Rattus norvegicus: one gene and its partners. The protein of the gene in region 5 binds, or shares a complex with, the protein of the main gene of each other region. Links are inferred from orthologs where the notes say so. Each region holds a gene or a part of one and is shown on either strand. Other genes may lie near its edges.

What was found.
Region 1: Cript (region 5) and Sf3b5 share a complex: the UniProt entries of both Homo sapiens proteins name them as parts of the minor spliceosome. The link is inferred for Rattus norvegicus from reciprocal best matches to the Homo sapiens genes CRIPT and SF3B5.
Region 2: Cript (region 5) and Rbmx2 share a complex: the UniProt entries of both Homo sapiens proteins name them as parts of the minor spliceosome. The link is inferred for Rattus norvegicus from reciprocal best matches to the Homo sapiens genes CRIPT and RBMX2.
Region 3: Cript (region 5) and Cwc15 share a complex: the UniProt entries of both Homo sapiens proteins name them as parts of the minor spliceosome. The link is inferred for Rattus norvegicus from reciprocal best matches to the Homo sapiens genes CRIPT and CWC15.
Region 4: Cript (region 5) and Gpkow share a complex: the UniProt entries of both Homo sapiens proteins name them as parts of the minor spliceosome. The link is inferred for Rattus norvegicus from reciprocal best matches to the Homo sapiens genes CRIPT and GPKOW.
Region 6: Cript (region 5) and Snrpd1 share a complex: the UniProt entries of both Homo sapiens proteins name them as parts of the minor spliceosome. The link is inferred for Rattus norvegicus from reciprocal best matches to the Homo sapiens genes CRIPT and SNRPD1.
Region 7: Cript (region 5) and Cwc27 share a complex: the UniProt entries of both Homo sapiens proteins name them as parts of the minor spliceosome. The link is inferred for Rattus norvegicus from reciprocal best matches to the Homo sapiens genes CRIPT and CWC27.

Annotation. Positions count from the first base shown.
Region 1 is NC_086019.1:9,175,971-9,178,401, reverse strand, and holds Sf3b5 (splicing factor 3B subunit 5), read right to left. Parts: upstream 1,214-2,431; 5' UTR 1,069-1,213; coding exon 808-1,068; 3' UTR 501-807; downstream 1-500. UniProt on the Homo sapiens protein: Component of the 17S U2 SnRNP complex of the spliceosome, a large ribonucleoprotein complex that removes introns from transcribed pre-mRNAs.
Region 2 is NC_086039.1:132,765,151-132,769,194, reverse strand, and holds the start of Rbmx2 (RNA-binding motif protein, X-linked 2), read right to left. Parts: upstream 2,801-4,044; 5' UTR 2,794-2,800; coding exon 2,789-2,793; intron 2,600-2,788; coding exon 2,484-2,599; intron 463-2,483; coding exon 411-462; intron 1-410. UniProt on the Homo sapiens protein: Involved in pre-mRNA splicing as component of the activated spliceosome. As a component of the minor spliceosome, involved in the splicing of U12-type introns in pre-mRNAs.
Region 3 is NC_086026.1:19,585,702-19,589,715, reverse strand, and holds the start of Cwc15 (spliceosome-associated protein CWC15 homolog), read right to left. Parts: upstream 2,801-4,014; 5' UTR 2,679-2,800; exon of another isoform or gene 2,510-2,678; intron 1,469-2,509; exon of another isoform or gene 1,464-1,468; 5' UTR 1,461-1,463; coding exon 1,330-1,460; intron 827-1,329; coding exon 714-826; intron 181-713; coding exon 92-180; intron 1-91. UniProt on the Homo sapiens protein: Involved in pre-mRNA splicing as component of the spliceosome. Component of the PRP19-CDC5L complex that forms an integral part of the spliceosome and is required for activating pre-mRNA splicing.
Region 4 is NC_086039.1:17,468,299-17,471,798, forward strand, and holds part of Gpkow (G-patch domain and KOW motifs-containing protein), read right to left. Parts: intron 737-3,500; coding exon 604-736; intron 1-603. UniProt on the Homo sapiens protein: RNA-binding protein involved in pre-mRNA splicing. As a component of the minor spliceosome, involved in the splicing of U12-type introns in pre-mRNAs.
Region 5 is NC_086024.1:13,340,135-13,344,147, forward strand, and holds the start of Cript (cysteine-rich PDZ-binding protein), read right to left. Parts: upstream 2,801-4,013; 5' UTR 2,738-2,800; coding exon 2,722-2,737; intron 215-2,721; coding exon 149-214; intron 1-148. UniProt on the Homo sapiens protein: As a component of the minor spliceosome, involved in the splicing of U12-type introns in pre-mRNAs. Involved in the cytoskeletal anchoring of DLG4 in excitatory synapses.
Region 6 is NC_086036.1:1,968,279-1,972,473, reverse strand, and holds the start of Snrpd1 (small nuclear ribonucleoprotein Sm D1), read right to left. Parts: upstream 2,801-4,195; 5' UTR 2,684-2,800; coding exon 2,670-2,683; intron 160-2,669; coding exon 83-159; intron 1-82. UniProt on the Homo sapiens protein: Plays a role in pre-mRNA splicing as a core component of the spliceosomal U1, U2, U4 and U5 small nuclear ribonucleoproteins (snRNPs), the building blocks of the spliceosome.
Region 7 is NC_086020.1:37,706,539-37,710,642, forward strand, and holds the start of Cwc27 (spliceosome-associated protein CWC27 homolog), read right to left. Parts: upstream 2,801-4,104; 5' UTR 2,741-2,800; coding exon 2,699-2,740; intron 1-2,698. Other genes in the region: protein SREK1IP1, read left to right, coding at 3,364-3,376. UniProt on the Homo sapiens protein: As part of the spliceosome, plays a role in pre-mRNA splicing. Probable inactive PPIase with no peptidyl-prolyl cis-trans isomerase activity. As a component of the minor spliceosome, involved in the splicing of U12-type introns in pre-mRNAs.

The DNA of each region.
Region 1 (2,431 bases), on a different chromosome or scaffold from region 5:
CCATCCCCCTCCATCTTCTAACTCTTGACTAGTTTAGCATATCTGCTTCCAAACTGGCCGGCATAATGTATGTCCTCAAACCTTTGGAAAATGCTCTGGTGAAAACTGAATGGGGAGAGGTGGAGCAGGGTCGGGACAGGACACCATTGTTTGCCAGTTTGTCATTTCTGAAGACACACAAACTAATTACCAAGAAAGGGGGGAGGGGGCTGCAGCATAAAGGGAAGTGAGGTTAATGACAGCAAAGACTAGAAATGGGTGGGAAGGAATGTGGAAAAACTCCATGCTTGAAGGTTTCCTTGGTACCAGACACACTGTAGGCATGAAGAAAATCGAGGTGAGGGAAGATCATAAAAGTGTGTGTGACAACTAAAGTACTTGTCAATAAACGCTTGCCCTGTGCTTCCGCCCCCGTTTTCTAGTCATATTCTCACGAAATCTTGATCCACAGAACTCTCTCCAAATACCTCCCAAAGAACACAGCAATTCAAACCAAAAGATATAACAAATCCTAACTTTATGTATGATATATATTTAAAAAAAAAAAAGGCGAGAACGACATCAACTATCGAAAAGCTGACTCGGAATGCGTCATCACTCCCAGGCAGTCTTCTCCCTCGCTTGCCGATTCTGGGATCACTCCTTCCGCACAGCTCCCAGGAGACCCGACAGTCTCTCGATGACTTGTTCGGAACCGTCCACAGGTAAGCAGGTCAGGCGATACACCCAACGGAGAATGGTCGAGAAGCAGGAGTCAGGAGGATCGGTCCACAGATGGCAGATGGGGAAGGCTGGGAAGCGCTCGCCTCAGTTCTCCTCCGGCTTGTCCGCCGGCGGCCCGCTGGGCTGCAGCATTTTCTCCATCAGGTTGAAACGCACGCGCGCTTTGCTCTCATTCTCAGCAATGGCGAAGTAGTTGAGGAGGTCGAAGTGACCCATGTAGGAGCAGTAGGAATCCCGATGCTGGTTCACAAGCCATTCCCACTTGGTGGTGTCGGCGTGGCCCGTGCCGATGTACTTGGACTGCAGATGCTCGAGCTGGCTGTGGATGGTGTACCGGTCCGTCATCTCGCCGCTCTGTTCTTAGGCTTCGAGGTCAGGCCACAGATGAGAAGCTACCGCTGTTCGGCGTTCAAATCAGAGAGACGCCGCCGCCGCTGCCGCCGCACAAAAGCTCTATTCGTGCTGGCGCAGGAGAAAGACGACACGCAGTCGCAGGAGTACTTTCTTTTCCTAGGCGGAAGGGGAAATAAAGTCTGTTGCGGGATTGGGGTTGCCTAGGAAACAGTGGGCCGTCTCCTCACGGAGCCCGCCTACTTCGAAGAGCGTTGCATGATGGTCCTCTTAGTGGCTCTTGGGTGATCACGTTCTAACCCTCGCGTTGCATTCTGGGACATGTAGTCCAAAGAGTTTGTCTTAGATTGTTTTTGAGGGGTTTTGCCTGGCTTATATAGGACAATGTCCAAAAACCTCGAAGCTTCATCCCACGGCTCCGGGCTACAAAGAAGGAGAAACCTACGTGGGTTTCATAATCCCACTGTCATTGAAATCTCATACTGCCGCAACACAACAGTATGAGCAACGAGGAAAACTAACTCTTGTACCTAGAAGTTAACATGGTGGCATGGTTCCGCCTTGGCCCAAGTTTTGTCTCTTAGGATTTGGGTACCGGGAAAAGTTTTTTTTTGTTGTTTTTTTTTTTTTTTTTGTTTTGTTTTGTTTTGTTTTTTGACTCTCGCTAGCTGCTTGTTGATCAGTGTCAGCACTGGTAGTCTCATTAATGGCTTCCCTAAGGAGTTCCAGGCGCCAGTTTCTCAACCCACCTAGGCTCTGTGGCCTTGGGCAAACAACCCCTCTTTAAGGTCATTCATAGGCTATTCCTTGAAGTCGGATATGGCTCGAGACAAGAAACCTCTTTCTCTTCATCTTGTGTTTTTCTGCTGATTTCTGCCTTATGTTGGGGGTTGTGCACTTTCTCGCATGGTACAAACTACTCAGAAAAAGATAATTGTACTTCTTTCATGGTACTCCCTGAGGATATGCGAATAGCGTGATGAAGATTGTATTCTCAAAAAAAAAAAAAAATCTTAAGAATGGGGTAAGAGCAATCATAGCCAGAGAGGATGGATGATGACAGACAAATTGAAAATACAGGAGTTTGGGGGTACTTTTGTTTATTTGATGTAAGAGGGGGGAGGCGAAGTTTTGTCCCTGAGCTCACAGCAATCCTCCTGACTCCTGAGACTAGAGACTTGTGCAACTCCATCTAATATTTATTCTTCTGTCTAAACTTTGTCATAAAGCATCTTGCCAGGTGGTGGCAGCACACATCTTTTTTTTTTTTTTCTTTTTTTCGGAGCTGGGGACCGAACCCAGGGCCTTGCCGCTCTCCCACTGAGCTATATCCCCCAACCCCGGCAGCACACATCTT
Region 2 (4,044 bases), on a different chromosome or scaffold from region 5:
AGAGAAGGGGCAATACTGCATCTTCCTGAATGCCTGTCTGTTCCAATGTAAGCCCATGCAGAACGAAGCTCAGTAAAAATGACAGAAACGGACTAAAGTCCCTCAGACAGACTCTCAAATGATCCAAGCTTTGGGATCTCCCATGTGGTAATTCTCTGGAACCTTATCTAACCTGGGACTGAGCTAGACTCTAGCCTTCCCCATGCATGGATGTCATTCAGCCTAGAATTAAATGGTTTTCATGGCTTTTTGAGGCAGGGTCTCACTCCAAGTGATCTTCCTACCTCAGCCTCTTATAGAGGTGTACAACTCCACACCCAGCTTGAAATGCTTTGTTGCTGTTACAAAAATACTCTATGGAAGCAAACTGTTCTATGCACCCAGGAGATAGGTAACAACAGAGGACTTACTGTGAGAACACACAGATGATGTCTCCTTCTGTCAGTTCATAAGGAAGCCCTCCTAGAAGAAAACAAACACTTGGGTTCAACAAACATTAAGCAAGTGTTTACTGCATGCTAGGCACTGGAGGTACAGATTAAACAAGCCACAATCTCAAATATATCAGTCTAATCCAATGATAGAATGAGTGGGTATAGTGACAGTAGTCCGGAAGGAAAGTAATTAACTCTCAGATCTCTGTGAGTTCCAGGCAAGCCTGGTCTACACAGTGGTTTCATAGTAAAACTCTGCCTCAAAGAAAGAGAGAAAGAAAGGAAGAAAGAGGGAGAGGGAGGTACAGAGGGAGGGAGGGGGGAAGAGAGAGAGAGAGAAAAGGAGGGAAGGAGGGAAGGAGGGAGGGAAGAAGGAAGGGAGGGAGAGAGAGAAAAAAAGGAGAAAAGGAAGGGAAAGGAGGGAAAGAAAAGAAGAGAAGAGAAAGAGAAAAAAATAGTAACTCTGAGTGGAAAGGCTGGGGTCATCACTCACCAAATTAATTTTATCTTTGAATCCTCACATCCAAAAATCCTATAAAGCAGGTGATTTCCTGCACAAGACTCAATCTCATAAACAGCAAGTTTAAGTATACTATTATTACCCTCACTTATGTGCAAGCTAAGATTTATAAGGGATAATATTAAGCATTTCATAGGAAACAATTTCCCCTCCCTCCATGTTTTCCCTCAAGTGTAAAAATGGGATGGTATCATATTTGCCTCACAGGAGTGTTAGAGAAATAAAGTAAAATGAGGAATATAAAGTGCTTAACACAATACCTATTACAACAGCCTCTTTCCAAAGGTAAACTGCAGGATTTTGGTTGGGACATAAAGTGAATACAGGATAATAATATTGTCACCAGAGAGTTAAGAGTTCCCCTTTTACAAAGGCTAGTAATGTCTTATCTTGATAATATAATTCTAAAGCAGACTAAGGAGGAAGCTTGAGGTCCATTTTATTAGCATTTGAGAGAGAGCTGATAGGGAAGCAAGTTGTAAGCTTCAGCAGCTACTGGGATGAAGGAGCTGCAGAAGAAGCAGCCATGCCTTCTGAATTAGCGGTCAAGCAAGCAGCAATGCACAGAGATGGAGGTAGAGGAGTGGTTCAAGGGGATAGGAGAGCCTTTAGATTTGGAATGAGACAGTCCAAAGTGTTCCGGGCAAGCATGTTCAGGATTCCAGCCAGCATCCAGAGAATGGACAGAAAGGGAGGGCAGGGGATAAGTGAGAACTCAGAATAACAGGTAGACTTAACACAGAGACCAGTAACAACTGCACTGGGGATCATTTCCCTCCCATGTCCTTAGCGTGTCTTTAGATGACTGAGCTTTCCTGACAGGTGACTCCTGGCCAGAAAATTTAAAGCCTGTTGGATTGTCTTAAGGAAGGGGAACACAAGCATGTAACATTTAGGATTCCTGAAAATGTCCCGGTATCTACCCAGGGCCAGGGGTGTAATCCAGACTGTATTCTTTTCATCAGTAGTTTTCCCTTAATGAACAACAAAGCTCACATCCCTCCACATTTTCAGATAGCCTTTCAAATGTTAAGCAGGAGAAACCCTCAATGTCGTCCAAGCCAGTTAATGTCTGTTCTGGTACCTAACAATACAACAAAGAACTGGGAGAAGCAGCCACTTACAAGAGGAAAATAATTCTGAGAAACGGCAGATAATAGACATGCAATAAGGACTAAGAACACAGCCCTATAGTTTTGAGTGATGCAGCACCTTAAGCAAGCCCAGTAACCCCTGTGCGCCTCAGTTTCCTTGACATCACTATGGGTTGCCTGGGGAGTTAACTGTCTCTAAGCAACCAAGTGGCAAGATTTTTCATATAATGAATGGCAAATACCAATTTCTAAGCAGTATCATAGGGGCCAAGTGAAAAAGGAACCTGTGAGCAGACTAGCTGCAAGAGTGTGAGGTGACGAGCAGCGTGTTCAGAGGTGACGACCAGGGGCGCTAAACAACCAGGAGGAAGGGGGAGGAGGGGAGGGGAGGTACAGACTCTGAAAGGCACTGCTAGAGAAAAATGTAGACCTCACCAAGAAAGATCCAGGCGCTGTCTTTGTATTCCGAGTGCCAAGACACCTTTTCTGCCACCCCAAGTTGAACCTCTCGCTCATTCAGTTCGTTGATCAGCTTCACCTTAGTTAAAGGGCTGTGCGGGAGAAGGGAAAGACGTTTAAGTACATTTCCTCACAGCCCGCCTTCTACGTACCGGTCGTCTCCCGCCCCGAGGCCCTGAAGGCGAGGACCTGTCCCCGCCCTTATGGGCGGCCCTCCTCAATCCATTCTCCCTTCCTCAGAGAAACTCCCTCCCCTGTCCTCAGAGAAACTAAATCCTTACTTCATATTCGCATCTTCGCGCTCCGCTCTTAAGACATCAGCTTCCGGGTGAGGCTCCGAAGCGCGCGCGCAACCCGAACACTCAGCTCAGATTGGAGCCAACGGAAATGGAGGCGGGACTTCCGGCGCGCTAAGCCTCGGCACATGCGCAGTAACGCAAACGCGCTTTCTCACGCTTTTGCTCCAGGGGCGAAATAGTTCCCTAGTTATTCCCTGCTTCCCTTTTTGGTGTAGCTCGAAGGTGGGAACCTGGGCGTTACAGTGGATCCGTGTGCTTCTGCAGTCTGAATTAAATGCCCACAGATTTAAATAACGGATGTGGCCTTTTTCCAGAGGCAGGCAAAAATTAGCATTGTCAAATTAGTACCTAACAATTGAAGAGTTAGAGAATGTAAAGGTTCCAAATGATAGAAAATTTATGCATGTTGTCTCTGTTAGGTCTCAAACCCAGGCTAAGTCTCACACCAGTGGCTGCCCCTACCCTAAACCTCTGCCTCCAAGGGGCTCAGTTTCTGCCATTTTCATTTTTCATTCAATCTCTGTTTCTTTACATACAGGGTTTCTTTGTGTAGCCCTAGCTGTCTTGGACATCGCTCTGTAGACCAAGCTGGCCTCCCAACAACCCCATGAAATACAGTTACCACCCCTACTTTACAGAGGAAAAAAAAACTGAGCTTCAACAAATTAGCTTGAATGTCTAGGGAGGTGGTTCAGTGGTTAAGACCATTTGGTGATTTTTCCAGAGAACCTGTATTCAGATCCCAGCACCCAAAACAAGTGGCTCACAACTCCAACTTCAGAAGATCCATCCTCCTCCTCTGGTTTCTGTGGGCATTTGCACTCCCATGGCATGCACAGATATACATACACATGAGTAAAACTAATAAATCTTTTAAAATTTGCTTAACTTGAAATGTCTTGAGCTTGTACCAATCAGGTCAGGCTAATTTAATCATCCCTTATTGAGCATCTAAATTTGTTCTGTACAGTTGGTCTATAGAAGGAATCTGGAGGACTGGTTTTCTGCATGCATAGAACTAATGGTATAAGGGGAAATCTATATGTACTTGAATACTTCATATCATAATTATCATATAATTAATAATTATTCATATCACAATTATCCAGAAATCAGTATGTAAACAGAAAATAGGAGTTCCTTTTTGTGAGTGTTAGGGTCCAAGAGTAGCAGAAGAATGATACCCCCCAGACTCAAATAGTATACAAAAGCAAAGAGTGTTTATTCAGCAGAATTTC
Region 3 (4,014 bases), on a different chromosome or scaffold from region 5:
GGCAGAGGCCCACAGTTCCAGCACTGAGGCGGCTTGAAACAAGCAAACAAATAAACACAAGCTAACCCAAACCCAAACCTAAAACACGTACATCTGTGAGAGGATCGTCAGCATCAAGGTTGGCAGCAGGAATCTGGTCTAAGCGGGGCTTCTTGGACACCGAAGAGGAAGTTGTGTGTTCTGAAGAAAACAAACATTTAGCATATTGAAGTACATACTGGATTTTAAGTAACATTTTAGAAACCTTTGGGCAAAAAGAATCCACACAAAGCACAGTGACAGCAGGGACCCACCCTGTGACGGGCAAGTAAGTCTCTGATAAATACTTGTTGGTTAACATGGGGTGAATTAGTGAGCACGCAGATCACAGCGTCTCAGGAGACTAGCCAATGCTCACATGTGGTAGAAACATAAAAAGGGTAACTGATGCTTCTCTCAAAACTCATCAATTACATGGGGAGTCCCAGACAGAAGGCCTCGGGCGGGTTCCAGCTGCTGTAAAGTCAAAGTCTACTGACAGGAACTGAAAAATGGTTTTAAACACTTCAGGTCACCATGTCTTCAGTACCAATGCATGACAAGATGGGACTGGAATAAACCTCATTATTGTCTCTTATCAAAGAGGTATAGCTCACAACAATGTTAATTGTTTCCAATCACCAGGAAACAGTTTGCATCACATAACTATGTGACACACGAGGGACAGCAGATACCTCGGGTTGGACGGTCCCTATTTTTCTCCCTTGCAGCAGCTCTCTCCCTCTCTTCCAACTCTCTCCTGAAGTCACGGTTGCGAACCTCTTCAGGGGCATCCTGTGTGGTTTGTCTTAAGTAGAAAAACAAAACAAGCCAAAACAGGTCAAAAATGTTGCCCCCAGTTGTCAAGGAAAAGAACCTATATGGCTATAGCAACTTGAGACAATTCAGAATGTAAGTGTCAATCAAGAACAAAACGGAAGAGGACAATATCCCAATCAGAGTGCTATTAATACACTCGTGGGGTTCCGTATCACACAACTTCCTACAGCAGGACGTCTCTTGAAAACAGTCCTCCACTCAGGGCTGTTACAGCAACTCCCATACTCACTCAGAAGACTGAGCTGGTTATCATGACTAGTGAGGGCTTCATCCACACCAGCAATCCCTGCTCAATAGGAACTTATGCTGAAAGACCGTAGAGCACTTTACAACTACAGCAAATAATTGTATTGTAAACTTTTTGAAAGCCTTTTCTTGGAAGATCGGTAACTTAAATACTATTAATTTAGACATGATCATAAGTCATGGTTGGTTCCATTCTGTGAACAGGACAAATGAAAGGCTTCTTACCTGTACTTTATCTTTGTATGAGAGGGAAGGTCTCTGCTTGAATACTGCTTGGAGAGCTGGCTCAAATCACCTTCTCCTTTTCCTCTCCCACCTCTTGCAGGTTCAAAAGTTGGCCTGGCTGCTGTTGTCATCTTCTATTCTTTGACAAACATGGGTTTAATTATACTTTCATTTTATAGATCATTCATAATTACCTGTCCTTAAATCATTCTCAAAACTCTCCCCAGAACTGCTTAAGTAGTTTGCTTCAGTACAAGTCTCTAAAGAGCAGAATCATGAAATTCAGGGTGTTTACTAGATATGCACTGCCAGGCAGCTCTTATTTGATATAAATAACTACTCTGAAGGTCTGAGTCTGTGCTTCTGTTTTAGCTGGGTAGCCCTGCGCAAGTCTCCTAGCTTGATTCTATCACTTGTGGAATGTTGATACTTCTATAGAATTATTATGAGATTTCTGACACGTGATGTCAGATCTTGGACAACAGTGTAGTGTGGCTTTTAAAATAAATGACTTAAATTTTTTTTTTATATCCCACTAGCACTAGGTTCTCTGAGATTTTGTTTTATTTATTTTTTATGATAGGATCTCACAATGTATTTCTGGCTGAATTAGAATTCACAATGCAGATCAAGCTGGCCTAGGACTCTCCAGAGATCTACCAGACTGCCTCTGCACTGCTGGAATTGTCCGGCCAAGATTTGCATTTTTATCAGAAACCTCACACTACAGCAAATGGACCAATAAAAAACAAATTTCTTTTAAAGTTACAGGCAAACTTATTGAGTGTCTTAGAGTTTGTTTAAAACCCAATGACATTTACACTGGCAACATTACCCCAGAATCTTGTTGATTCAATTTCCCTCTAAAGCAGTTACCGCAACATTCGTAAAGCTTTGGTAGGCTGTAACTTAACGCAATCCTAAGAAAATCGGAACTCCACTCAACCAAACATCAAGAACTGGGCATGACTGGGTACTACTCCTGTGATTCCAGAGCTTGGGGGGTGAGAGCAATAGAATCGGGAGTTCCAAGCTAGCCTAGGCTACCAGAGAACCTTTTGCAATTTTTAGCTGTCAAATAAGAATTCCAGCCTAACTACAGGGCTACTAAATCTCCGTTAGCTTAAGCAGCATGCTCAGACAGACCGTGTGGGACGTGGGAGTTTCTACCCCATCCTACCCTCCTTTGCTTTTCTCAGTGTCAGCGGTGCCGCGCCGGTGACCGCCCCGAGCTCGGCTGCAGCTCCCGACCGCCATTCCAGCACCGCGGCCCGGACGATAGTCACGGCTCTCCGACTCCCCGGTGCGGCCCGCACAGGGACCACAAACCACTATGCCCTGCTACTCACTGTGGCGGGGGTTCGACGCAGTGCCTTCAGAAGCTCACTCACGAACCATTGCGACCCTTAACTCCCAGAAATCTCTGCGCAAAACCGGAAGCAAAATGCAGAACTTCCAGTCTCTACACCTGGGACTCAACTAAGACCCGGAAGCAAAATCTTCGCGCTCCCAACGGCTGTGTAGAAGACGCGAACTCCACACCCGGAAGCAAATCCCGAGTTGGTTTTTTTTTTTTTTTTTTTTTTTTTTTTTTTTTTTTAACCGTCTTTTAGAGGCTGACCCAGTGACCAATCCGCAGAGACACGGGAAAAAGATGGAGTGACGTCGCCTAGGGGCGGAGCCAAGGCTGCTTAGGGGGCGGGCGTTTGAAACCGGTGCTTCATAGTCGACCCCAAATATCATCTTGTGCCTTTGAGAACCAATTACTTAATCTCTCTTGCGTCTTTTCCTTTCCCGACCCCCTCCCAGACTCTTTCGCTGCGGTTCTGCGAGGACGGAAGGCGCCAGGAGCCGGTCCGCGTCTCGCAAGCGTTGAGATCTGAGGAGAGCTTGCCAACTGACCGACCCAACGGCTCCTGCTCCTCAGTAGACCCCGCAGCCTAGGGACTAGAGTTGTCACTTAAGTGGATATGAAGAAGGCGCAAATAAGTACGGGGGCAGCCACGAGCTTTCCAAAGGTACCATTCCTGCGAAACCACTGGCCTTGAAGGCAGGGGTTATAGTCGCATTGCTTGTTAAGATATATAAATATATATATATATATACATAGCTATATGCATTAAGCGTTGTAGTGTGAGAGGAGATGCCGTGAGCGTTTACGATAGTGAGAATTTATGGAACAGTGGGCCTAACTGCCAGGAGGAGCACGAGATGGGTAAGATGGCTTCGCCAACGTTGTCTTGGTGTCCATCATTGAGATTTTGGGGACGGCCAATGCTCGATAAAGAGAATTCTGTTCTCCAGTTTATCTCAAGTGGAAGGATCTCCTAAAACTGAACATTTCAGTTCTTCCCTGACCTTCCTTTGGAACTTTTAAATGAAGAAAGAGAATTATAAAAGAACCCCCCCCCAATGTGCCTCCCCTGAAAGTAGAAGGTGAAAAGCTTCGTTTCTTTCTTTTTTTTTTTTTTTTTTTAATTTATGGAAGGTGTGCACCTCTCTCAGCCTCACACAAAGGACGCTGCTATCATATTAGTGGCTCCAACCCAAAGCTGGAGACCCTCTACCTTCCCTCATCACATCCTGTTCACTTGCCATGCTTGCCCAGTATTGTGAAAATTACCCTGAGCTTCCCTTCCCTGTTACTAACCCTCAATTCAGGCCACTGGCATTTTCCTCTTGGAT
Region 4 (3,500 bases), on a different chromosome or scaffold from region 5:
GAAAGCCTCGCTGTATTCCTTCCAAGGGTCATTGTCCTCCTGGCAAAGGACCTGTTCTCTATCCACCTCCTTCAAGAAGTCCCTCTCAACTACCTGGCCCATAACAAAGACAACAGAGTCAACTGCCTGGTGTTCACAAGAGTGGACGAAGAGCCGCAGGCACCTCCAAGCTGCCCCTCCCACAACCATCACTGTTCTGTTCACCACTCCTTGCTCACACCTTAACTCTAGTTTCATATTTAGCAAAAGAGGGGACCGCCACTCTAAATACATGAGGACCCAGTTTCTTGATGTAGAAACTGAATTCCATATCCATTTCTTACTGCTCAGAGAGGATGAAGATATACAGTATTAGATCAAGTTCTTCTCAGTTAAACTAAACAAACTAGGCTGAGGGTATGGCTCCTTCGTAGAGCCTGATTAGCACTGTCAAGATTTTGGGTTCTAATCCCAGCACCACCAAACAAAAAGTAAATAAACTACTCTTGTCCCTTCTTATCCCTGACCTCTGACTGGAAGTCAGACAGTGCCCCTTCTCCCTACAGGTCTTGAGAGCCTGCCTGTCACCATGCTTCTCTAAGTCTCCAGTTTTCAGACTCTCACCTGGCTTCGACGTGTGGCTATCAAACTCCTGCTGGGAAACAGGCCGCAGGCAATACTCACTAACATTCACAACGCGGTTGCCTACTGCCAGCCGAACCATGGCTCGTACATTGTCAGGATCTAGGCCTTCTACCTAAGGTGTGAGGGAAGGAGTGAAGGAGAAGGCAGAGGGTAAATGGACTACTGCTGTTAGGCCTAAAATATCAAGCCCTTACCTAGGTAGCCGGGGCTGGCCTATAACTTGGGAGATCCATCAGTCTTTGAGTACTGTGATTCAAGGTGCACACCATTATGCCCAAATGTACATCGTGACCTTTGGTGATTAGGACCAGGCATGGTTCCTTTGGCTCTTCTCTCAAACCATGACTCCTGAGAAATGGGACCAGGTATATGTCTCTGTGTCTCCCTTAGCAAAACGTAAAATGAAGACTTGCGTGTATATGTGGTACACATGCACATACCTGCTGTTTGTGTGCCGTGTGTACATGTGTGTGGAGGACAGATGTTGACAGCAGGTACATTCCTTAAATGTACATCACCTATGCTTTTTCCTTTTTTAAAAAAACTATGTAAACCTCACCCTCAACCTCACCCTAAAAGAGAAAAAAAATTTCTTAAAAAACAAAACTATGTAGATGTAGATAGCCCTGGCTGGCCTAGAACTAGAAGGCTGTCCTCAAAGTTGTAGAGATCTGCCTGTCTTTGCCTTTTTTTAAAAAATATTTTATTTATTATATATTTGAGTACACTGTAGCTGTCTTCAGACACACCAGAAGAGGGCATCAGATCTCATTACAGATGGTTGTGAGCCACCATGTGGTTGCTGGGATTTGAACTCAGGACCTCGGGAAGAGCAGTCGGTGCTCTTAACCACTGAGCCATCTCTCCAGCCCCTGTCTTTGCCTTTTAAGTGCTGGGATTAAAGGTGTGAGCCACCTTACTTCTTTGAAATTGGTATTTATGTGCAAGTATGTTTTTGCCTGCATGTATGTGTTTGTACACCATGTCACGTGCATGCCTGATGTCTGCTGAGTCCAGAAAAGGGTGTTGGATCTCCTGGGACTGGACAGTTGTGAGCTGCATGCAGAGTGGGTGCTGGAAGTTGAACGTAGGCCCACTGAAGAGCAGCACATACTCTTCACCGTGAAGCCAACTCTCCAGCCTCCATCTTCTTCTGAGATAGTAAACCCGAGCTCACTGATTCAGCTATGCTGGCTGGCCAATGAACCCTAGAGACCCACTTAGAATCTCTACTCAGCTCTGGGTTATAGATGCCGTGCATGCTTGGTTTTTATGTGGGTGCTGGGGATCCAAACTCATGTCCTCGTGCTGGCATGCTAGTCAGTCACTTTACACACCAAGACATCTCCCAGCTTTCACTTTTTTCAAGATAGGGTTCAGGCTAGACTAGTATTTATCATACATCCCAGGCTGGCCTTAACTTGCACTTCTCCTGTTTGGTTTCTTAGATACTGGGTTTGCATGCTTGCTTCAGCTTTAATACTTAAGTTTTGTGGAAATTGTAGGATATGGCATTTTCTCCCTTCTCGTTGAGAACTGAGGCTCAAAAAGACCTTGCAGTGGCCACACCTTCCTGGGGTCTTCAAGCTCGGGTAGAAAACCCTTTTTTTTTTTTTGGTTCTTTTTTTCGGAGCTGGGGACCGAACCCAGGGCCTTGCGCTTCCTAGGTAAGCGCTCTACCACTGAGCTAAATCCCCAGCCCCGTAGTAAACCCTTTTTACTGAGCTATCTCCCAGCCCCTTGTTTTATGGACACGGGTTTTGCTAAATACCTGAGGCTGCTTTGAACTCATTACAAAGCTCAGGATAGCCCTGAATCCTGCTTCAATCTCTCAAGAATGCCACCATGTCCATCCCTTGTTTTTCTCCCTTCCCCTTCCTCCCTTTCTCCATGCATCTACACACACTCCAAAATATCACCTGTTCAGTCCATATACTGCTACCTGTATGTACATTTTCAGGGCTGTTCGGCACTGACCAACCCATTGGTGTGCTCTTCCCTAGGAAGATGAGGCTTTATTAAACATCCTTTGGTATTTAGCCTCCTTTTCCTGTTGAACTTCACCAGGTTAGAGCCAGGTGTGTCTAAGAAGATACTCTTCTTGTTTTGCGATACTTATTTGATATTGTTTACATATGCATATATTATATTTTGATCTGTGACCCCAGCTAACTTCTCTTCCTTACCCCTAGTGGACACCTTTTCATTAAGTCGCCCTCCTTTGCGGACATGTTTTACCCGACTCTGACTAGTTCTGGCATGTGCATGTGATGGAGTTTGGCGCTCTCACATTTGCTCCCGTCCCTCACAGCCACTCTCCTTCCCTGTCATTTTTATAGTGTCCCACTGAGTTTAATTGGGGTTACTGACATGAGAATAGGTTTGGAGTTATTTGCCGACCTAGACTATAGAAGTTAAGAGCACTACCATAGCAAACTCCTCACTGTTCTTACAGTCTTTCTGTTCCCTCTTCTGCAATGTTCTCTGAACCCTAGGTTCAGAGTGTTTTGTAGCTGGATCCCTTGGGACTGGGCTTCCCAACTCTGATTGGTTGTGGTTTTTTTATTTATTTTTGAGAGAGGGTCTCCTAGGCTGGCCTTGAACTCTGGGAAATTCCTTTGCCTCAGTCTCCTGAGTGCTGGTATTATAGGTATGTTCCACTATAGCCTGCTTCTTTCTTATGTTTTTTTTCCCTGTTAGGTGCCTCTTCCTACTTACTGAGCTAGATCCCTATTCCTTTAAAATTATTATTTTACTTTAGTAATTGTTAGCCTGCCTTTGAATTTACTATGTAACCGATACAGGTCTTGAGTCTGTGAGCTCCCTGCCTCAGTGTCTGAAGTGTTAGGATTATAGTCATGTACCCATGACACCTT
Region 5 (4,013 bases):
GATATGAATTCACAGGGGAATCCGGTCCTCTTTGTGTTTAATGGACGAGAGAGTCATCATCTAACACTGCACTCTGCAAACAGTGAAGCCCTAGAGCTGTGTCCACAAGCACTTGATCCAGCTCCTGTTTCCTACTGGCAAGCAGTACCTGTGGTGTTCCGGGCCCCGTCCTTCCATGTGTCTGGAGTGATAACCCTGCCGAGTTTCTTTTCACCTGTTGTAGCAAGATAGCAAAAGAGTACAACTGTCATCTAATACACACACTGTGTGGAAATAAAATAACAAAACGCATTTCTCTGCTAACGTTACAATAATAATTTAAAATAATAAATATACTGTATTATGCCTGAAGTACATAATGACATGAAAAGTGAGACTACAGTAGGAACCTACTAACACCAGGGTAGAAATCAATGAATGAATGATAGCAACTGTGGGCAACAGATACTGGTTCTAAATAAAACTTCCAGGACAACAAGATGCCCTACCAACAGGTTCCACTGATTATACTTTAAACAATTCTGACAAACGTATTCATTTCTCCCACATTCTCTAATCACCTAGTCTGTACAAAGCACTGTGGGAGGTACTGAGGAAAACAAAGCCATGAGTCTAGATTCAGGGGCTTAGACCCAAGTTCACGAGCTCCTTAAGAGCTTGTAGGCTGATAGCTGGGAGGAAACGAAGCAGGCGGGACTGCACAGAAACCTAGAGCATGTGCTTATAACCTTTTCTTGTTCTGACTGGAGCCTTTCTGAAAAGTGAAGAAGCCTTCAGTAGAACCATAAGCTGGAAGCCTGAGCTGTGAACTAAGGAGATGGAGCTTAAGTGTTGGGAAAGTAGATGAGGAGATGAAGTCAAACAGTAAATAAAGGACACATCCCCAGGTCAGGCATGGGAAGCTCAGGGGTACCACAGTGCACAGAGTACTCTGGCGAGCTCAGTGTGAGGTGGGAGAAAGGAGGTTGGAAGGATAGCTTAGGTGTTTGTCTGTAGAGGGCCTCGGACGTCAAGATCCAAATGGACAGTTACTTCTTAGAGTTTAAGTAGGGAAAAGGTCAGGTGGAGAGGTGAACTGGATACTCAGTGGTATGGATGTGCTAGCTGAGGTCAACCATTTCCCAAAGATCTAATGGATCAAGAGAAACAAAGCAGACCAAGACAAACACCCTGGAACCCAGTAAATGGAAGAGAACTCTAAAAATTTGGAGACAAAGAACTTTTTGAGCAACTTATGACAGAAGGAAAGGCAGAACTGAGGTGGCTGCCTGACAGTACAGCTTCTGTATGAGCAGGAGTTCAGTTTACATACAGGGTGAGTGTAATGAGCACACAGACTAGGAGGTTACAAATAGTAAAACATTAGATTTTTCAGAAGAGCAGAGGAGTAACTATAATAGAAAGAAATGGCCTTTTACTGCACAGCACAAAGGACAGGGTCATATCTACATTTAGGCCACATTTAATTAAACACTTTCCCCACTTTCAAAAAGAATAAAAAGCTGTTTGAGAATGGAGCTGATGAAGGTAGCTAGGAGTGGTCTTCCCGAGGGAAGGGCATACCAATTGGTTGTCCAGTGCTAATGGTCAGCCCGGAAACATACATCCAAGTAACAATATATGAACTGAGCAGGCTGCATTTATAAAACAACTATATACATGTATGCATTCAATACAATTAGTGAAAAAAGAGGTCAGGAATTTGATGGATATATGGGAGAGTTTAGAGGGAGGAAATGGAAGAAAGAAATGTTGCAATTATATTATCTCAAAAATAATAAAGAAATAGAATTTACTGGAAAAAAAAAGAATGGTGGCTGAGTCTGATGCCACAGCTACTAGGTGGTGTCTGTGTCCAGAGTTCTATGTACTGTGGTTGTATATATTAGCCATTAACTGAGATCCAAGTTGGAATCTTGTCAGAGAAGGCTGTCTAGCCCAAGAAAGAGATCAAGAAAAGAAAGCTGTTTTAAACAAATCAACAGCTTTTGCAGTAAAAAACAAAAAACAGAAAACGAAAAAACAAAACAATAAGTATTTTCAACAAATCTCAGGGGTTTCATTGGAATTACTGAATGGTAACTTAAAGAGTTAAAAAGACCTTTCTAAAAGCCAGGGATGACTACATAGATTTCTTTGGTGGTGATGAGACTCTCTCCTTCACCTGACCTAATGCTGTATTAATGAACTGACGGGATGGTATAAGATATTCAATTAAACTTAATTTCAGATGACCACTGAATTAATTTTTAAAGTAAAATCTGTATTAAATGCGGCATGTTTTGTAGTAAGGAACAGCGAACAAAAGCCAAGATTTAAATATTATGCGGGACATATTAATAATACTAGAAATTAATCATTGCCTATAATCTTATAATGTAACTGAGAGCCTGGGATTTATATTTGTTACACCTGGCAACTCTAGATGCTACCAGAAAGATTTTTAAGTCTCTGGGATCCTGTCAAGAAGTTATAATTAAAGAGATCCAAGGAGGGCGCGAGGACGGTGACAGAAACAAGCATAGATGTGCAGAACTGAGACCATTCTGAACACAAAGCATAGGGCTATAGGGTCCCGGGATAGGCAAGGACCGTGGGGCAAGGAAGGAAGACAAAGGTTATACTACAGACCGGTGAGAAAAAACAAAGGCCGAAATCCCAAGAGAATTTCGTCGGGTTCCTCCAGCCTCCACCTCCCACAGAAGCAGCGCCTTAACTTACACTTTTCACACACCATCCTTCCACGGGTCGTCCTGTCCCCCTCAACCCGCAAAGCAGGAGCAGCTGCCAAAATACATCAACAACACAGCTGAGAAGACTTCCTCTTCCGGTTACGTCAGTTCGCTTCCGTACTCAGCCCTCCCGCTCCGGCCTATCCAGGATGGAGAAAGTCGCGGGAGGGATAAACGCGAGCTCATGGGCGGGGCTTCCTTTATCGGTCCGCCTCTTCTCTTCAACGATTGGCTATCCGCTTGTGAGTCCCCCGCCTTCTGGTCTGCGCCTGCGCGAGGGGCCATGGCAGCCTGTCGCACCTGAGGGTGGGAGGCGGTGGTGTCCCCTTCCCTTCGGCGGGCGGGAGAGTTAGGTAAGCGGGAGGGATGCTTCCTAAGTTCTCCTGGGGCAGGTGCAGGTCGCTCTGCGGACTGCTGCCGTGGCTTCCAAGGCGCCACGCTTCCGGCGGGCCAGAGGATGCATGGCGCGACGGACCCTCTGAGATCCCGGCGTCTGTCGGCGGGACCGACCCTCTGTCACCGTCTCTCAGGTTACCGGGTCGGCCGCCCGGGCTCTCTCTGATGATGCCCCTCAGTTGCCCACACTCGCGCTGTCCGGGGTTGGGACAGAGTCACCTGGGTGGGGTTGAGCCGCGGTCAGCGCCCGGGCAAAGGCTGCTCAGGAGGGTTCGGGAGCAGCCATGCCTTCCCACCGGGCTCTCGTGGGATCGCGACTCCGAAGGGCGGCTTCCCAGGTGTGGCGTGCTAGGGAAACTCGCCCGCCGGTGCCCGAGGAAGGGCTCCATTCAACCGGCCTTTGCGTTTGGGCACGGCTCGCCGTGTTAGATAGGGATTTGCAGGTGGCCCAGAGACAAGCTCTACTTAGAGGATGGATTTCTGATCCCCCTACCTGCCCGATCCCTCAGTGGAGGGGAGAATCTGAGAAACTTTTCCGAAGTCTTTTCATTGTTATCCGTTCTTGTCCGGACCCCGGAGGGTGTCTTCATGTTAAAGAGGCGATACTTGAAATGGCTTTAGTGTGTGTAACCTTGGCCGCTTCTGCTAACTTGTTTAGCCGGTTTGCTTAATCAGTACCATATTTGCCTTTGAAAACGATAGTGTGAATTAAATGAGGGCAAATAGGACAACGCCCAGACTTGCACTTTTACGTTCCCTGTTAATTTCTCCTCCTTTTGTGTGGATGTTCCTTTTTGGGCCGGATTTTTACCACATTGTAACAATTGCTAAAGTTCTTAATTAATTTTAGTCAATATAACATAAAAAATGTTCTTTAGGTCAAAC
Region 6 (4,195 bases), on a different chromosome or scaffold from region 5:
CAACGCTCATTAAACAAACACAAGGAAGAAAACAACAAACAAAAAACCTTAAACAAAAACATTTCAGAAACAGTCTTCTCACCTGTGATTGTTCCATGGACTTGCGTTCCATTCTTCAATTCAATGGTTACGGTTTCATGACTCAATTTCATCAAAAATCTATAAAAAGAAATAAAGTCCTGATTTTTTACCTTAACATTTTAAGTCTTTTGATGAAGTCGGTAGAGTAAAAATGCTAGAGATCAAAATCTTTAAAATGCCACAACAGTTCATATGGGGTCTGGATAGCTAACCAGCAGTGCAGAGCACTCCCCTCTCTTGCAGAGGACCCAGTTTGAGTCCCAGAACTCACACGAAAGCTCACAAACATTTGTTATCTTTGCTCCCAGAGGATCTGGAGGCCTACGCTGACCTTAGGCACCAGGCAAATTTGTGATGCATACATGCAGATAAAACATTCACACATAAAATAAACATCTTAAAAATAATTCTTCATAATAAATACACAGTGCTTAACTTTTTCTGAACCAAACTCATAAACTTATAAAAGAATGAAGCAATAAACTTTCCTCTGGCATCTTTGGACGTTACTGGGTCCACCTGCAGCTCACAGGCTGCAGAGCACTCAAATAAGCTTTCACCCGAGTCTGTAAACTTGGGCTGTCCTGAGCTTCCGACTAGAGAATACTAGAAAGAGACTATTACAAAACAACCTTAAATGAAGATATCTCAAGATCCTGGAGTAGCACTGGGAGTGGTGGTGCATCCTTTAATTCCAGTGCTTGCTAGACAGACAAATGGGTCTCTGTGAATTGGAGGCCAGCCTGTTTTACATAGTGACAGTGAAATTGTCTCAACAAACAAAAGACCCTAGACTAATTTTCAGACACAAAAAGGAAATAGAATTCTAATTGATAGCATAAGATTACATGGTAGAAATAAAGAACTTCTCTTTTCCTGCATTTTGGTAAACAGGGATATTATTCTAACCCACAAGCATACATGTAAGATTCTACTTTACACAAAGTAGGCTATTCTTTAATGGCATCAATAGTACTTGGAGCTTATTTAGCAGTTTACACTGGGGATAATTCCCTAAAAATAAATATTCCAAGAGCTAGATAGTAATCTACTATATGGAAATGTCAACTACCCCACTGTGAATGATGTTTTCAACTTTCTGCCGTTACAAACCCATTTATGCAGGCCCTCACCAGTAACAATTAACAATCTCCCAATTTTCTATCTATGCAAAAAAAGAAAAAACGGTGGGGGAGGGGTGTTGGGAAGAAGCACAGCAAGCCGGTATATATGCACAGAGGGTGAACGCTTGCTGCTGCCAAGTCTGAGGATCCCAATAATGGAGAACCGACTCCTCCTACGGGTCCTTTCATCTTTGTGCACACAAACTTCCCCCATAAATAAATGCAACTCTTTTTTTTTGAGACAGGATTTCTCTGTGTAGCCTTGGCTATCCTGGAATTCATCAGGATGGACTTGAATTTACATAGATGCTCCGGCCTCTGCCTAATTTGTGGCACCCTCCACCCTGCACATAAATATAATCTCAAAACCCAAACTAAATCAAACCATGGTAGTGCATCATTTAATACAGCTCTAGGGAGGCGGAGGCAGGAGGATCTCTGTGAATTCAAGGCCAGCCTGGTCTACACAGTGAGCACCAAGCCAACCAAGGAGCACACTCGCGCACTCTCTCACCCCAAAACCAATCATTACCACTAACAAAATCAATTAATTGACTAAAATATTGAGCAGGGCCATCAAGTTGGCTCAGCAGGTAAAAAGTACTTGCTGTAAAGGCTGAGGACCTGAGTTTTAATCCCTGAGACCCTGGTGGAAGGCAAAAACAAATTACCAAAAATTGTCTTATAACATACCTGTGCACGAGCACACACAAATAGTAATTTACTTTCTAATGAGCAAAACCAAGAAAAATGTATGCTTGTAATCTAGCACTTGGGAAGCACTTTAAAGTGTCCAAAGGCATTCTGGTCAACTACAACAGGTCTTGACACAAGAAACTAAATATTTCTAAAAACTGGCTTAGATATTATATACCCTGCCCCAGACTTGGCCACAAGTCTGTAAGTTTGGAATTAATCAAACCAGCAAACAAGACTCTAGTTAGGCTCCACTTCCGACATAATCTATGCAATCAGGAGAAATTAACTTGTTACCTTTTGCCCCATCCAGAGACACTTTGTCTTTCCTGAGTCAGAAGCCTACATTAACGAGTTACATGCTTTGGTCGGTCAAAATTAAGGAGAACTTAATCTAAAACGTCTTGCAAATCGGCGTCGTTATTTGCAGATAAAACCATCCTACTTCTAAATCCTCGTCACTGCAAGTGCTCCGACTCGCCACGAAAACGGAGGGACCACTGCTCCGTTTAAGTCGCCGGATGAGAAGTGGACAGAGACGGCTTGGCCACTTCATTCCTGTAAGACCGGAGGGGGTTTGAACGCGCCGGTCCCTTGCCCAGGGTTCTGGGCGACGAGCAGGGCGCGGCGGGGCCCGGGCGCCGGAGGCCGTTAGCAGGCCGCGCGCACGCGGCTTTCCCGCCTCCCTGGGAGCACAGCGGCCCGGCCTCCTAAGCTGGCCCAAACTCTCTACCCGCCGCTCTCCCCCAGCCAGGTAACCCTCCTCACCTCACGAGCTTCATCCTAGCGGCGCAGTCTCCCTTCTAGTCCAACTGTCCACGGAATTCAGGCTCCAAAGACCCACAGACTAGGAGTATGAATGGCCGGAAGAGCGCGCGGAGACCTGCGGATGCGCGACGAGAACGCGGAAGCCGCGCTGCCTTCCGGCGACCGGGAGAGCGACAGCGGCTCCTAGCGACGGGAGGAGCGCTTTGCGCCTTCGGAGGGCGGAAGGGCTGGTGGACTACACCTGCAGGAGTCCGAGACCACTTATGAATTTATTAAAACCAGTTGTGAAGGCCTGGAACTTTCACACGTCAAAGGAGGAAAAGTTCTGAGAGAAGCCCTCCAAGATCCGAGCCTAATCCTTGGGATCCACATGTTGGAAGCAGGGAAATCAATCCTGCAAGTTGTCTTTCGTTGGCTAAGCTAAGCCAATCAGATCTTTGGACAGAGTTTTAAATAAACCTTTCATTTTATATATAGTAAGTCCTTCGACTTAAAAAAATCCAATTCCTTATTTGCAATAACCACACAGTTAAATTTAGTAACACAACATCTACAATTGATATAATTACAAATATAGTGCAAATAATTTCCACTATCACAAGAAGTTTGGATAATATTAATTTATTATCATTTGATTCTAAAACGTATTATTTTTGGTCCTCAGGAGAATGTTGTGTCTGAAAGCAAGGGAATACAACTGCTTACTGTGCTCTCCAATATCTAGAATACTGTTTTCATAGAATATGCTTTTGTCACAAAACGCCCCTGTTCCAATGTATGGGAACTGGTCCCACGGGTCAATGAGATCAAAGGAGGAGGCAGGGAAGCCCAGAATTGCAGTGTGCAGTTTATGGGTGACTTACAACAGATACATTGGCCTGGGCATCAGGAAAAGCACATAGGTCCTTGTGATTAGGGTTAGAAGGTATGTGGGGTATAAACAGGTGAAAGTTATTTCAGAGCTAGGCATGGTGGTGCAAGTTTGGGGCCAGCATGCATCACCAGATTTCACCCAACTAAGAGTATTTCTTGTCTATTTCAAGCTAATCAGAGTCAGGTACATCCTTAGGCCAAGGTCTTGTCATAAAGCTTCAGACAACTCTCTCGTGATTTGTCTATTTTATTCTGGGAAGCTGACCATGGTGACTCAGGGATAATTTTGATAGTTTCCACTCAAAATAATTTTAGTAATGTCAAGATAAATCTATAGTCCTTTATTTTATTTTATTCTTTAAATCTATAGTCCTCTATTGATATGCATGAACAATTAGATGCTTCTCTCCATTAAAACGTGCGCTTTATAAGGAAGGAGACCTTGTGCATATCACTCAATGCAGTAATGCCAATACTGAGCAACTGGTACTCTTACCCACAAATCCCCTTTCCACTTGGGGTCATCTTCCTTCTAACCCATCTCTTTCCCCCTCAGTAATATAGGAATGTCTAACATCTCATAGTTCATTAAGCTCACTCTTCTTTTCAGATGTTTGTACATGTAATGTTATAATCTAGTTAAAACGTATTGT
Region 7 (4,104 bases), on a different chromosome or scaffold from region 5:
CTTGCTGAGTACTGGTACTAAAGGAGTATACCACCACACCTAGCAAGTTGTTACATTTGCTTGTTTGTTTTTAAAACAGGGTTTCTTTGTATAATCCTGGCTGCCCTGGAACTTGCTTTGTAGACCAGGGTGGCCCTGCAGTCAGAGATGTGCCTGTCAAGTGCTTTGATTAAGATAAGCACCACGACTCATGATGAAGTTTCTACATTAGTAATGTTATCTTTCAAATGGCAATTGTGAAAGCTGGCCTAGTTAATCTGGGTAACATAGGCCCATGTAACTAATCATTAAAACTTGGATCATAAAATAAAAGAATGACTCACAAGTACCCAGACTCTGTGTGTGTGATTTCTTTTCTTTTCCTTTTCTTTTAATGTGGGTTCTATAACATGTGTCTTTAATTCCAGCACTCTACGCTGAGCCGAGGAGACAAAAAGGTTCTCCAGAAGCTTACACACAGGCCAGCTAGGCTGACATAGGCAGCATCACACAACAAAAAGACACTGCCTTAAACTAAGTGGAAGATGAGGGCCATCATCTAAAGTTATACTCTGAACCTTCTAATGTATGCAGTGGGACAACCATGAAACTGAAAGACCCCCAAACTTGGGGAGACCCTCGCTCCAGTCATGGGTTGAGGTGCCCCCAAGAAACGCGAGTAGCCGGTCTTGATGTAACAGCAAGAGGTAGCGTTTATTAACGAGATCCCAGACCGACACTTATCTCACACAGGAGACAGAGGAATCGGCCCCGAGCCTCTTCAGGCAGGGGTTTATATAGGAGAAGCCAGGGGGTTTCGCATGGTTATCAGCAAGGGAAATGGGTACAAGGTCTCATCTGCAAGCAGTACGTGCGGGCTGGGGTGTTCTCAATATAGGAGAACGTCTTATCTTTATCTGTAGAGCAGGGAGTCATACGTCCGGATGGCCCCCTTCCTGGAACAATCCCTTGACCTTGTTTTTAGGCTTGGCCGGGCACATCTCAGGCCAGCTCTGTCCTGTCCCCTTATCTGCTGTTCTTTTGCAGTTTTTATGAAGTTTTTATTTTAACTCTTCAAAACAAGACACACACACACACACACACACACACACACACACACACACACACACACACACACCTCATGTATATATACACAATTTAAAAATATTTGTTGAAGGAATGAGCTCCTGTTCAGAAATGCTTTTACTCTATGAATGTGTCAAATCATTTCCTACAGTAAACAACCAGTTCCAGCATAGCTAAAGACTCATATGAAACCCTCTTTTATTTCTTAAAAGTGTCAAACAACTAAGTCTGGGCATGATTCACCCTTACTTATGCTCAATACCTCTCAGAAGCTAAAGAAAACATAGTATTAATTCATCTGCCTAGCTATTCTTTCATAGTGCATGAACTCCACAGTGTATGTGAAGCAATGTTCTAGGTCAGTGGCTCTCAATTCCTAATTCTGTGACCTTTTAATACAATCCCTCATGTTGTAATGACCCTCAATCATAAAATTATTTCCATTGCTATCTCATAACTGTAATATTGCTGCTGTTATAAATCCTAACATGAATATCTGATATGTCGGATGTCGGATATTCAACCCCTGTAAAAGGGTTATTTGACCAAAGTGGTCACAAACCACAGGTAGAGAATCACTGTTTCTAGATGTTTATCTTCACTGATAGTGTTTGCATTCTATATAGGAAAGAAACAAAAGTAATATACTATTAAATACTTGGAAATTGTTGAGACCCAGGGCATCACTGAGATTTGCTATTTTATAGGCCTCTTTGTTAAGAGTGACGTTTGAACAGATAAAATAGCATACTAGAGAAATGAACAGCAAAAGTTAAGGTCCTGCATTGGGGAATAAATGGTCAGTCTATTTTATCTCTACGAGCATTTATTAGTTAAAATTAATATTGTCCTCTAGAAATATAGCTCGGTATGAAACCTATCAGGGAATCGATTCCCATTCCTACCCAGTAATATTCCTCACTCCCCCGCTGCCTCTGACAATTATCTCAAAAGATATGTCCTCCAAGATGTTTTCCCCATCATTTCCTGTTTTTCACTCCGCCTTACTATCATGGCAATATAATCTTCTTCAATTCTTCCCAACCAAAGGCAGGTGTGTCGATGCACGCCTGTAATTTTGAAATAGGGAATTAGCAGCTAGCCATATATATATATGTGTGTGTATATATATATACATATATATGTATATATGTATATATGTATATATGTGTATATATATGTATGTATATATATATATGTATATATATATATTTGTGTGTGTGTGTGGGTGGGGGTGTGTGTGTGTAGCACACCAACCTTGCTTTGTATCATCAGCACCTAGTAGAGTGCGTTGTGCCAAGGAGGCCTTCAATAAATGATGGTAGAGAATGCGCGACCTCCAAGTTAAACAACTAAAAAAATGAACAATCTTAACGTAAGTCTTAAAAACAACAGACACTAGAAGGCGCTCACGTGAGTTGGATCAAGGAAGTTAAGGGGTCAGAAGACTAGCGAATAGAGAAGTTGCTCAATAACTCTCAAAAATACGCTGAGACATGTCACTGTAAATAGTATAAATGCAACAGTGGCCATAAGCATGATGTGGAGGGCAGTCCTTTTGGTCTTTCAACTCCCTTGCCACCCCCAATCAGGTTGCTCTTAATTAGGATGTCCAGGTGGTAGAGGCTCTCACCTTCCCATTCGTGGGCGGCTCCTGGATGTAGATGTTACTCATCTTGCTCACTGCTCAAGACTCCGTTCCTTAGTGTGGCCGCGAGCGAATGGCGGGTCTCTGACGATGCCCACCTGTTAGTAGACAATTCTTTACCTGGGTACTTGGGGAAAACTTTACTCGGTCAGAGTTAGACAGGACAACCGTACTAAGCACTAGCTACTCCCCCAAACTATCCCCTCATGGACGTCGCCATGTTGCTCCCGGATCGCAGCACCGCTAACTCCGGGAGGGGGGATGTCCCTGTTCTTCAGGAAACTAGAAAAGACTATAAGACCTCTGCAACTTTAGAGAATTTGTCGTGTCATTCATAATACTAGCTAAACGGCCAATCCGTAAATCCGGGTGCTGCGTCCAGGTCCGGTGTTTGCAGATAGCACTCACCTCCGGAAGCTGGCCGAAATGGTTCAGACCACGTGTGCTCCGCGGTAGGACACCCCTGGAAACTGGGTCCGCAGCTTCTTAGTTCCGCCAACCCTGGATGTGCATCCGGCCTTCTCCTGCCCTGTGAAGTTGTAGTGACCGGGTGGGAGAGATCCCTCTGCTAGTGCGTTGTCCTCGCTAAGGACCTGAACGAAACGCGATCTCGAAAGCTCAGGACTCCGGTGACCCCACTCACCTGCATTATGGCAGTCCCAGGTGAAGATCAACCGCAGGGCTCTCTCACTCCAGAGGAATGAGGCGAGCAGGGGAGTCCAGGACCGGGGGTGGCAGGGAGCACTTGGGGATTCAGGCGAAGGCCTGAAAATTTAGAATCGGTTGATTTACATGAAAAAGTTTACACTACAAGTTCAAAGAGGGCTGGGAAAGATCATCTCTGTCATTCTTGTGCAAGCCCAAACTGCACAGGATTACAGGGAAAGTGTATTGTAAGAGGGACAAGAGAGTTGGTGACAATGAGAACTGTAGGCCTAAGGGGACAAGTTGCCCGTAAGACTGTAACTTTCACTGAATTTCAAAATAAAATTCGAAGTGTGAACTTTTGGCGAATCCAGGTGGTACATTGTAGTGAAAGTCATCCAGTCAAGAAGTGCACCTGGGGCTTGTCCTAGCTCTTCCAGCCTTTAGTTACAGTGTAGCTGTAGGCCGGTTTCTGTGCCCTTCTGGGGCCTCAGTTTCCCTCTTAGTTTCAAGAAGGCGCTTCCTTGAATTGTATCAAAGATTCTTTTGTAGGTTCCACTTTGGTGTTCAGAGGTTTCTAACCTAGACACGGCACACTGGGCTCCGGGGATGTTTTTGTTTGCTGCTCCAGTTTACTGGGGAGCCTCAAGAACTTCCCCAAGCCGGCCTTGTCAGAATGTGTTTCTGCAAAAACCCTAATATCGGGCAGGTGTTTTTAAGAGATATACCCACCTTACATCTCCAAG